2 linked regions of the Caenorhabditis elegans genome follow. The protein of the gene in region 2 purifies or fractionates together with the protein of the main gene of each other region. This does not show direct contact. Each region holds a gene or a part of one and is shown on either strand. Other genes may lie near its edges.

Region 1 (4,436 bases), on a different chromosome or scaffold from region 2:
ATTTTGGGGATTAAATTTGACACAAAGAATTAAATTTTAAAGATATTATACCTTCCGTGAGTCCGACGGTTCCAATAAGTGGATGACTGAAAACCACTGTGGCAATGTTCTCATAAGTCAACTTATTATCAGTTTCACCATTGAACAGACGATGAGAGAGTCGACGTCCGGCAGCAATTGCGACTGGTGTGAGAAGGAACTTTCCAGTATCATCTCCAACAGACAAAATTCCTGGAGCAGATGTGTTCTGGTACTCATCGACAATAATATGCCCAGATTTGTCGGTTTTCACTCCAACACGTTCCAGATTAAGCTCTTTTGTCAGTGGATCTCTTCCGATGGCCCAAATCAAAGTCTGAACCTTTTCGATGACTCCAGTCGTTGTCTTGATTGTCAAAAGACCATCATCTCCTTTGATTACTTCTGTGACTTGAGTATTTTTGTGCAAGTGAAGTGGATTCGTTTCCTCGTCCATATCAGCAGTAAGTTCATCGCTGAGCATTTTGTCAAATGTGCGGAGAACCTGAAAATTATTTAGTTAAACTTGAAAAGTTTCCATGTTCCTCATGGTACCTTATCGTAACGAATAAGAAGATGCGTGTCTGAACCAAGATTTGCGAGAACTCCAGCAATCTCTACGGCAATATAACCAGCTCCAACGACAACGGTCCGGCTTGGCAGATCTTCGAGATCGAAGAATCCGTCGGAATCAATACCGTGTTCGGCTCCTTTGATGTTTGGAATGGTTGGCTTTCCTCCAACAGCGATGAGCGTGTTCTTTCCACGATACTTCGCTCCGTTGACCTCAACAGTTCCGTCTTCTGCAAAAGTTGCACGTCCTCGAATATATTCGACTGAGGATCCTTTCAGTCCACTCTCATAAAGACCATTGAGTCGTTTGATGTACTCATCTCGCGATTTTTTGATCACTCTAAAAAACAAAACAATTAAGAATTATTTGATTAAACTAATTAAAAATTACTCACTTCCAATCAAACTTGTTAAGCGTCACATCAAATCCGTAATCAGCGTGGTCCCGGATGAATTCGGCGTGGAGAGAGCAATTGTACATAACTTTCTTCGGAACACATCCAACATTGACGCAAGTTCCTCCGAGACGTCCAGATTCGATGAGCCCGACGGAAACTCCGAATTCACGAGCACGCCGAGCAGAAGCGATACCTCCAGATCCTCCACCAATCACCAAATAGTCGAACTCCTTGACGCCAGACATGATCGACCTGGAACTCGAATTTTAATAATTAAAAGTTGGAAAATAACAGAACTTGTAAGAACATCGAAAGAGAGGCGCGATTGAAAATTCGCAGAAAAATCAAAGCTTTATTTCTTTTCAGTCGCGAAGTGGACTTTAAAGTTTATTTTTCGAATGAAATACTCAAAATCGACTGACGCAAAAACGATGACAAATTACAAAGATAGCAAAGCGCGACTACAAACATGTGACCGCCCTTCTTCCGAAATTCGAGAGGTTTTATGGAAATTTGACTCCACAAAGACTACAAAAACTTTTTTTAAACCAAAAAGTAACAATTTAATACCTCGAAGTGCTCAAAATGCAGCGAAATCGGAGCATTCAGAAGGGTTCACAGAAGTTTTTAGACATTTGATCAGCAAAAAATAAACAAACATCAAGGACTAAATTGTGCGCCCAAGTTGCAAATAGCTCGCGCCCATTTTGCGAATTGAAAACTCCGCCCCTTTTTCAGCGCGCGAAGAGTTTAAAATTTGAAATTTAGAAGTTTTTTTGGAAATTAAAAATTCCGCTCAATTTTCCAAACGGATTCGCACGCTGGAATAAAAAATGACAGGTAAATGTTGAAAAATGGTCTATATGAATCTCTCAATTTTTCAGAAGTTGAAAAATCTCGAAGCGGCCGAATAGTGAAGCGAAAAGTGTTTGCCGATTTTCAACAACTCGATGACGACTTGAAATCAATTACAACGGAGGAATTAAGAGAGGTAAAAAAGACAAAGAACAATCGCGAACGTTCTTCGCAGTGTCGGGGCAATGACAAATAGAAAGAAACACTGATTTGGTCAATAGTGGAGTGCGCAGAGAAGAAAGACAATTTTATTAGAAAAAAACCAAAAAGAGCGCGAGTGGGCAATAAAATTAAAATAGTGATTATTTATATGTAGTTTCAATCAATTCAATCAGGCACAAGAAAAAACTAATAAATGATGACAAAAGTTTCACTGAAAACTAGAAAAAATGATGACAAATCAAACATTTTTTCAGAGCGCCAGCGAATCGAAGAAACTTCGTCTTGGACCAACTAGAAGATCTTGTCGCAATATTCCGGTACAGCTTTTTATAATATTCGTTTCAATTCTATTCAAAGATTTCAGACAAATTACGAAGAATTAAAAGCGAAAACTGATGCCGGAATTATTCCCGAAACAGTTTATTATCGAGCATCCAACAATTCGATGTACATTCCTTCAATTACAGCCGATATGCTCAAGAATGATGGAAAGTATGAATTAAAACATTTATTATCAGATTTCTTTTTTATCCTTTTTTCAGTGATTTGACTGTGCAAACACGCTCAGACAAGTATTTTAAGTACAATCGGGTCCGCCAATCTACAAAAATCGATTACGCGGAGCCTGAAAAAGTGTACGATATTATATATGCAGTTCGGAAAAGGCCTAGTAAGTCAGGAAATCAAGAAGTTTTTCCAAAAATTTCCCTTTTTAGTCCTATGGGATCAACGCCTGATTTGTCATCGGAATTCGAATTTGTCTCGCCGTGCTTGGGATCAACTCGACTTGGAACTTGGAATAGATGAAGAGTATCCATTGGCTCGGCGTAAACAAATCTGGAAGAGTAAAAGAGATTATTTCGTATCAGCGGTGAACGCCGCCAATCTGAGAAAATGGATTTATGCAGAGTACGGCTGGAAAATTGAAAATAATGAAATGAAAATAATAATTTTTTCAGTGCATTAGAGTTCTACCGTCCAATGATAAATTTCCGAACGACATTCTGTCTCCGTCCAACCGTCGCTCAGCCATCTCAAAGTGTTCATGATAAATTAGTATTGGCTGATAAGAATATCCAATGCACACCTGGTGATAAGAAAAATGTTCTGACGTGAGGAAAATTCCCAACATAAAAAGTGTACTCCTCGAAGAGAAGTTTGCATTTTATTTTTAAAAATTCACAACTTTTGGGTATATTTTGATCTATTTTGAACCATCTTCGCCAATTCTTTTGCTGTAAAAAACTTCAAAAAACAAAAAAAGTATAGAAAACATGATTAAAAAATCCTTTTTCTATTTTCAGCAGGAATTTTGAATACAGCTCGACGGGTGCTAAACCAATTTGGGTCCCGTCACGAAAACTACTGTAACTACAAAACGGTGCTCTAAACTCGAATACAGAAAAAATTAGCTCAAACAGTTCCAAATCAAGAATTTTAGCCGAAAACTGTGTTCTTCTTCTTCTCGAGGAGTACACGACTTGCGTAAATCGACACATACGGCTTAATCCTATTAAATTTTTCCAGATTTCTTCTAAAATCTCTCTACGACACCGGAATGTCGAGTCCCGAAATGATGGCTGAGCATGGACTGGAAATTCTGAAAATTTTCAAGAAAAACGCAGAGTCTAGCAATTTGAAACTCAATTAGCCACCCGCCACGTTTTATTAATTTTTATCACATATTTCTCATTTTACTGCATTTTGTTATACTTCTCGACTTTTCGAATTTTTAATAAAACATAAAGTACGAATTTATTAACTGATTTTTTTGATTTTTAATTATTTTCATTCAAAATCTGAATTTCTATCATCCAACGGTTCCTTCTCTGGACATGACGTGTGAATTAAGTGATGCCAAAATTTCTGGAAAATTTAAAATTAGAAAAAATTAATTTCTTCGAATCAGCCTTACAATAATGTGATCGAAATTTTCAATTGCTAAAAATCCGCACATTCCTAAAAGTAGCATGAAGAATGTTATCAGCAAATATATTTCAACTGTGACGTGTCTGAAAATTCAATTATTTTTCAAGTTAAATCTAGCGTGGCCGGGAAATTTAAAAGAAAACTCGGCCACCTGTTTTTTTCACGGCCAACATTATTATGGAGACGCAAAAAATGCGAATAGTCAGATTGAGGTGCAAGCGTGCTCCACGGCTAAATGCAAATGTCCTGCCCCCAAAAGCTGGGTCTCGTTAGGTATTGGGGACCAAAACGCGAATTTTAACGTTTTAAATGTTTTTTGTGTTTCTAAAAATGTTTTTCGTCATTTTTTCCACTAATTATGTTTAAAAATACGTTTTTAGTTTAAAAAATAGTTCAATTTTTAAATTCCACTTTATTTCATCAATTTCGGCGAAAAAATCCTTACAAAGAACGGAAAATATAACAAAAAAAACGAAAAATGCATGGAAATCGGCGAAACTA
Region 2 (7,935 bases):
GGAAAAAATTAAAAAATCTTTACCTAGTTCCAATAAACCTCTCATGTGGATGTCTGCAACTCGCTTCTTCTGAAAACCCAATAGAAAACCCGAATATCAAAAAAGCAGAAAATAGGAGCATTGTGACGGGGGGAAACTGCAGCACTTCTTGCGGTTATTCAGTTTTCGATAAAATTCGTATGACATTTTATTTTATTTTTCAACCCGGCTGATAAGATAAGAGCTTGTGCCTACACGCCCAAAGGTCCACAGACGTCATTTTTTGGATAAGGTCATTTTAGGTCTGTGTTTCGATGACATTTTCCATTATCAATTTTTTTCATTTCAAATTTCAACCTGGAATTATTTATTCATTTTTTTGTAATTATATAAATATGGGAAAATGGTGAGAATTATCAGGTAGGATGGTCGGAAAATGTAAAGTTCCAATTATAAGTTATGAAGATTTTTTTTAAATGACGATGTTTGTATAACGTAAAGAAGTTTAAAAAATAGGAAAGCTGAACGAGTTATTTCTGTGATTAATAGGCAAACTACAAAAGGACCAAAAAGGGTGTACCATCAGAAAAAGCAACAAAAAGGTTCAATTGGTAGGGACAGTATGTATAGTTATCAAAAATAAGGAAAGTTATCATTTTGAAATTTTATAGATTTCAGAGCTGAGTAGCTAAACTCCTTCCACATTCTGAATGTAGTTTGTAGTCGAGGCGTCACCAACTCGATCCTCCAACCAGAATGTCCTGCAAGTGCCCTTTCCTTTCACTTGAACCTCTCCTCTTTCAGTCGTTGTAAACACCGGATGATGAGCTCTAATGTGCATATGAGCCTCCTCACTCATTTGGATCATTCCAGGCGTTCCAGTTGATTCCATTCTTGACGAAACATTGACAGTATCACCGAAGAGACAATATCTTGGACACGTCAACCCGACGACTCCGGCGGCGACGGATCCTGTATGGAATCCCCAGCGACAACGGACACGATGGGTTGGACGATGTGGAATTTGATATCCGGTTAGGTACTGACGCATGTCTAGTGCAGTATTCGCAATGTTCCTCGAATGATTATATTCATTTTCTTCAGGGATCCCAGATACAACCATATAAGCGTCTCCGATAGTTTCCACTTTGTAACTCTTATTCCGAGTTATACATTCATCAAATCCAGTGTACAGCCCATTAAGCATATTGACAACTTCCAGTGGAGTTGAGCCGGAGCATATTGTAGTGAATCCGACAATATCTGAGAATAGAATTGTCGCCGATGAATAAAGCTTCGGAGCAACAGATCTTCCCATTTTCAGCTCATTTGCCACGTAGGCTGGTAGGAGTTGGGTGAGGAGTTGGTCAGCACGGATGTTGGCTTCTTCTAACATTCCAGTTCTTTCAGCGACAAGCTTCTCCAGATTGTTTGCGTATTGTTCCATCATCTTCATCATTTGATCAACGAGACTTCCTTTTCTGAAAACTGTTCTTTTCCCTATATTAAATGAATTCCAAATAGTCTCACGTTTTCAAGACCATCTCCGTATTCAGTCGAACTCGTCGAATCGACGGCCGAATCTCTGGATTCTCACTCCAGCAATCCCTCAGCAGAGCGTTCAGATCTGGATGGAGTCCCATTTGGTTTTGAATCTCCGGTGACACGGTTTTCGATCCGTCTGCTAGATAGTCGACAAGTTCTGAAAAAAATAAATAAGCTTTTTTTTATTTAGCAAACAAAATTTCCATACCACTGATGTTTGTATTATCCCGGAAGGGCAAACTTCTGAATAGAATCTCATACATGACCATCCCGAACGAATAAATATCTCCGGCTTGTCTTCTCAGCATTGATTGCTTCACCCAACTTTGATCCATTCCTCTTCTCTTGTTTGTTTCTCGATTTTTCAGAAGTTCAGGAGCCATATAGATTATTGCTGAAAATGCTTGATTTTCCCCCAGTTTCTCTAACAGAAAACTCACAAGTTGCCTGCGATGCTTGACTCTTATCGTCCGAATCTTTTGCAGCAGCAATCTCAATAGCCCCTTGCTTTTCCCATCGTTCCAGTGGATTAGCGATACCGTAATCCGACAGCTTAACCATCCAGTTTCGATCAATCAAGCAACACCATGGTGTAAGGGATCCGTGATAGCCGATAGGCGACGCGTGAAGATACTCCAAACCCTGAGAACATCCGACATTTCTGAACTTGTCGTTGTAATCTCATATTGTTAACTTTAACCTCACAACATGAACGTTTCGTTACTTTTGATAACACCAGTAGGCATTAATCAGGTGCAAACCCTTGAGATGTTACCTACCAAGTGCCTAACTTACCAAAGTAATATCCCTAACAAAAGCTCCATGGAACTTCTCATCAAGTACTACATTTGCATTGTAGATTATATCCTGAATCGTTCCTCTGCTACAAAACTTCCACAAAACCAACATTTCCTCTTTCTCATTAAAAGCAGCTCCAAGGAATGGATTCAAATTGTCATGAACCGCTTGTTTCATTTGTGTCAGCAACTGCATGTCCTCTTTTATAAACTTGATGGGTCTTCTTTGTTTGTAACGATGATAGGTGGTGTGGGTGTTCACACCAATTATTGCATGCTGCTTTTGACCTGTCTGTATATTGCTCAACTTGGTAGTCACTGAGCCAACTGACATCATTGATTTGACTTGCTCCTCGTCGATGAACTGCAGATCGTCGTGGAAAATTCGCCAAGGCATCTTTTCAAGTTGCTTGTTTTCGCTTAAATGTTAGGTATGTAGGCAGGTAGGAAGGAGGTAGGCATTGCGTTTTTCTGTTGTTCTTTTCAAGTTTGAAAATACCTAATTAAAGCAGCCGACACCTTGCGACTTAGTTCTCGCCCTAAAAAATTTAAAAGGTCAAAACCCAACCCGTAAGATGTCAGCTGCTCTAATTTTTCAAAGTAAAATTCATGAATTTTCATCTTTTGAAGATTTTTAGCTAGAAATATTTAAAAGCTCACCAGTATCTAAACAAGAAGAAAAACACAACTGATATTAAAATTAAAAGAATGATAAGTGATCCAACACTGATTTCCAGTAGGTAACTGCATCTGAAAATTGAAAATATTTAGATTTTTTTTTTTTTTTAAATCTAGACAACCTCTGTCCTCGATATCCGCAAATTGGCTCATCAAGTGGCATTGAGCCATCCTCGCTTGGCCAGAACCCCGATTTGATGTCGTTGATTTTCTGAAAATCTTTAATTGTAGAACATCCCAGAAATGTTCTGACTCACCAGTTGGAAACATCCACTTTTATTCTTCAATCCATCACAGTTGGATATTAACTCGCTTTCCATATTCACCATTTTCATGACTTTATCCCGATTTGGAGATATATAGAATGCTGAGAAGATTGGTGCCCGATCTGCTACGTCATCCATGAGCACTGTGCCAATTGCTCCTGCGTCTTTATTCTCCTCAGAGCTGGATCTGCTCACAACTCCTGAATTTATAATTTGAGATGCAAAATATTTAGGTTTTTATGAACTGGGAAGACGAAGGGGTTCCTATACGGAAAATCTAGCGCGGGGTAGAATTTGCGGGCGAAAGTTGACCTGTTGCGGCAAAATGCTGGCAATGCTTGGGAGAAAGCTGACAATGTAGGGCAGAGATATGTCAATGCAAGGCAGGTGGCTTGTAAGTGCGGCAGAAAGCTGGCGATAAAATCCCAACGGAAACTACAAACACAAAGTAAAATTACCTTCAAATTTCATTCGTCTCATTCTATTCCAAATAAATTGTCCATTAGTCACATAAGCCTCATTATCAGTTTCATTCAACACTTTCCGAATTGCCAATGCATAAAGTTTTAGAGAATCAAACAAGTGAAGATATCCATTAATATTAGTCTGAAATTAACTTATTTCTCTGAAACTCTATTAGACATACCACATCAATATCAGATTTCTGCATTCCATGTTTCTCAATCTTCTCGACAAAAGAGCTAACAACACTATCATCAAATCCATTGACGTCATCAACTATAATAGCATTCGCATAATGATCCTTAACTCTTTGGAGCATTTCCCCATCTGCTCCAATCCACGGCGTCAAATCTTTCGTTCCACTTTGCAACCATGGAATTATATAGGCATACTCTGCATTATTCATTCTCATTGTGTACGTAGCTTGCATAAACTCTTTGGATAGTTCTTTTGTAGATGAGAAGAGGCAAATTATTACTGGAAAGTATTAGAGATCAGAGGTAATTAAACTGCTGAAACAAACTTCTCGCGTTAGCGGCCAAATCTCCGAGTTGCCCGGAATTCATCATTTCGTTTGCATCAGTGTTCTCATCAAACATTACTTTTTTGACTATAGTCACACCTTCCCTGTGCATGATTTCTTCGAAAATTGAGACTCTTTCAAAAGCTGTGCTTCCGGTGTTTGTAGCGATAGCCACCTGCAATTTTTTTGGAGTATTGCGGAACACACTAGGTTATTGGCACTTGAACCAGGTATTTGGAATCATAAAACAGCTGGAATTTGTTTTCAGCAAAAAGGCTTGTAAATGCAAAATTTTAATCTTAAACTTTAGTGAATAAACTGAACACACAAAAATGCCACAATAAATATTTTCCCCATATGATTTCAATTCCAAGGTTTCAGATGAAAAATTGTTTAGCAGAAATAATTTAAGGCTTTTGACGCCCAAGATGTCAAGAATGTGAAATTAAATCTGGATACCTTTAGCCACTTGTAGTGTAGAAGCAAGGCGACTGTCGCTTCTGCTATAGAATTTGTGTTTTTCGACGAAACTCTTGCCAATGTTTTGTAGACACTACGATCTGAAATGTTTGAATTTCAACAATTAACTAATTTAAATTGATTAATCTAATAAAGGTCTAATAAAGTTTCGATTATGCCAGGTCCCTAGCCCGAGTTTAAACAGTGAAATGCATAAATAAATCGCACGGATTATAAGGTCTCGTCACGAGGTTTTGTGGCAAGACCCAACAGAATTAATTCGTACGGCTTTCAGTGCGCGTTTCAGAAGTTTTCAAAATTGATATAATTAAGTTAAAGGTGGAGTACTGAAATCTGAGACTAGTTGAAAATAATAATTGAAGTTGGAAAAATTGTGATTTTAGCTAAAAAGAGCTTTATTTTCCTAAACTTTGAACCGCCATAACTTTTTTTTGAGAAAATTTCAAAAGGTCTCGTGTAGAATTTCGGTAGTTTTGGGTCATTTTGGGTATAAAAAAGCAAAGTCTCAAATTTCGGTACTCTACATTACTCCACGGTACATAACTTGAAACGACTCATAAATTCGAAAACAATAGGGTTTACATAAAATGGTTCACAAGAGTATATCGACATGTCACGTGATGCCATGGCTGTCCCATTAAGATTTGATCTACAAAAAATGCGGGAATTTTTTGTCCATAAAAATGTGACGTCAGCACGTTCTTAACCATGCAAAACCAGATGAGAACTCTGCGTCTCTTCTCCCGCATTTTTTGTAGATCTACGTAGATCAAGCCGAAATGAGACACTCTGACACCACGTGATATGTTTAAAATTACCTGAAACAGCATTTGGAACACTAGAATAAGAGATAATTGGAATATTCCAGAAAGTTGCCATTTTTGTCACAGCTTCGAGCTCTGAAAAACCACTCAATTAAGCCACCAATCAACAGCTTGCCAAGTGGAAACCTGCTGCACAGTACGGTCCAATAAAGGCTCTGACCTGATGAACATGATATAGTTCTGCAGCGACTGCAACTCCCTCAAAACTCTCACTGCAAGCCTGTCGTGACACTATCCTAAATCGCACAAAAGATCAGTAGTGCAAGTTGTGTTTTTTTTTCAATAATTTTGTTGTCTTATACTCTTCTAAACCTACTCAAATTCAATATCATCGCCGACAAGACCCTCTTCGATCAGATTTTCCTTGCTAATATTCAAAATTCGAGCATCATTCGGCATCACCCCGACAGCTCCGATATGACCAATCTTAATGACGCGTTTGTGCTCTTTATTGACCTCCAGTTTGGCGCCATTGTCGAATTGAGTGTACGACGATTTTTCACCGTTTTCTTTGATATCCGGGATTTCTTCAATGGCAATAATGGGAATATTAAAGAAAATTAGAATAAAAAGCAACGTTTTTAGCATTTTCTGATGCTCCGACTGCAAAGTAGCTGCGAAATATCTATTTCTTCCAACTGAGCTCTTCCACGTTGCCGCTTCACTTGAAATCTGATTTGAGCTGCTTAAATTTAAGATTAACTACTGTGTCTACTCAAAATACGTCAGTACTAGATTATCCATCCGTACAATATGCATTAGTTTGATTAGTTTTTCCGAAGGATTTTCATGTGTTACGTACTACTATTACTTATATTTACTTATAAAATTCGTTCTTATTAACAAAACAGAGAAAACAATAGAAACCCGGAGATAAAAAACATTTTAAAAAGATGAAAAACAGTGAACATTTTTTGGCTATGAACATATTTGGAAGGAATGACATGGAAACAAGAAGAAGGGGGTTTGATATTATAGATTTGTGATTAAAATTTTTAAATATTATGGAAACGCAGAAAAATGAGAGCTTTGAAATTGAGGTGCAAGCGCGCTCCAATGGCAAACTTTGAGTCCCGTTTTTTCGGTGATTTTCCATTGTTTTTATAAGATTTTTTGTCAAAAAAGGTTTTTCATCAATTTCAACGGGAAAATAGTACAAAGACGAAAAATTGGTTGAAATCGGCGAAAATGATGGAAAACGTTAGAATTGCTGGTTTTGTCGCCAATACCTAACGAGACCCAACGTTTAAAGGCGGATCGTTCTCATTTAGCAGTGGAGCTCAGTTGCATCGATTTCAACAAGCGCATTTTTCTGCGTTCCCATAATAAAACATTTCTAAGAGATGAAATTTATGATTTGCTGCTCTCGACCACAGGCTGCAACTCGACTTCTTTCGGCGCATCGGTTGGCAGGGCTTGATGAGAGGCTCTGCAAAAAAAAACATGAATTTTCCACTTCAATACCCGAATTACTCACTTGTACGGGTACATGCTATAGGCGAAGACGGCTGCGATAACACCAGAAGCTCCGACGAGGAAGAGAATCGATGGACGGAAGTTGAACAGGAAGTAAGCAGCGATACAGTTGAGAACGATGGCAAGTGATGTTGCAAATGCCTTGAGAATATTATCAGCATACTTGATGACGACTGCAACAACGAGTCCTCCGAATGCGTTGATGGCTACAGTAACCCAGACTGCCCAGTCGAATCCTTGAAGCATGTTATTCCAGATTTCGATTGGGTTCGGGCCGTCTTGGTAGAGGCTTGAATTGTCTTTTACCTGGAAAATTGGATGTGAGAAAGCGAGAATAACTTTAATTTTTTTTAAATTTTAATTAATGGTCAAAATGTTCATTGACAGTTTCAATGTTAAATTTAAAATTTTTTTGTAATAGTACTTTTTTGGTTTTTTTTGGTCCCAAGAAAAACGGAACTTTTTGAAGAAATTATCTTGAAAATCATTCAAATAAAAAATAATTTTTTTTAATGCAAAAAATTAAATTTTTTACTAAAAAATTGATTTGAAATAAACTTTAAAAATATAAAAATCGTGATATTTGATGATTTTCAGCTTTTTTTAAAGCTTTTTCTCGCATTTTTTCAGGCTTCCCCGGCCATTTTGAGCATAATTCTGCAAATCCGTACCGATGCAAAGAGAAAAGCGAAGAAAATCGATGGGAACGCCAGCTGGATATTTCTGATCCAAATCGACACATTTGAACCTGAAATTGTTCATTTTTTAGGTTTTTTTTTCATTTTCAGAGAAATCGAAAAATTAAAATTTTAATGGGGTTATTCATGTGATGACGAAAAATGCAAAAATGTATTTTTATGCATTTTCCCCTATACATGTGTGCAGAAAAATGTTAAAAAACACAT

What was found.
Region 1: the proteins of gcy-18 (region 2) and madf-8 fractionate together in Caenorhabditis elegans (co-fractionation; one large-scale study listed by BioGRID). This does not show direct contact.

What each region holds. Positions count from the first base shown.
Region 1 is NC_003281.10:3,648,134-3,652,569, reverse strand, and holds madf-8 (MADF domain-containing protein), read left to right. Parts: upstream 1-1,737; 5' UTR 1,738-1,822; coding exon 1,823-1,829; intron 1,830-1,873; coding exon 1,874-1,980; intron 1,981-2,260; coding exon 2,261-2,323; intron 2,324-2,370; coding exon 2,371-2,498; intron 2,499-2,548; coding exon 2,549-2,676; intron 2,677-2,722; coding exon 2,723-2,915; intron 2,916-2,965; coding exon 2,966-3,118; intron 3,119-3,533; coding exon 3,534-3,657; 3' UTR 3,658-3,778; downstream 3,779-4,436. Other genes in the region: gsr-1 (Glutathione reductase, mitochondrial), read right to left, coding at 52-523, 574-931, 987-1,241, 1,560-1,594; Putative potassium channel regulatory protein unc-93, read right to left, coding at 3,795-3,872, 3,922-4,018.
Region 2 is NC_003282.8:12,858,344-12,866,278, reverse strand, and holds gcy-18 (Receptor-type guanylate cyclase gcy-18), read right to left. Parts: upstream 6,183-7,935; 5' UTR 6,143-6,182; coding exon 5,871-6,142; intron 5,791-5,870; coding exon 5,681-5,790; intron 5,630-5,680; coding exon 5,549-5,629; intron 4,811-5,548; coding exon 4,710-4,810; intron 4,426-4,709; coding exon 4,251-4,425; intron 4,205-4,250; coding exon 3,912-4,204; intron 3,872-3,911; coding exon 3,724-3,871; intron 3,466-3,723; coding exon 3,257-3,465; intron 3,211-3,256; coding exon 3,122-3,210; intron 3,072-3,121; coding exon 2,982-3,071; intron 2,741-2,981; coding exon 2,320-2,740; intron 2,167-2,319; coding exon 1,965-2,166; intron 1,919-1,964; coding exon 1,733-1,918; intron 1,682-1,732; coding exon 1,510-1,681; intron 1,461-1,509; coding exon 668-1,460; 3' UTR 323-667; downstream 1-322. Other genes in the region: clec-186 (C-type lectin domain-containing protein), read right to left, coding at 24-121; nstp-5 (UDP-galactose transporter), read right to left, coding at 6,905-6,983, 7,032-7,336, 7,702-7,778. UniProt on the Caenorhabditis elegans protein: Guanylate cyclase involved in the production of the second messenger cGMP. Regulates thermotaxis responses in AFD sensory neurons. May regulate AFD neuronal activity such as calcium responses to temperature gradients.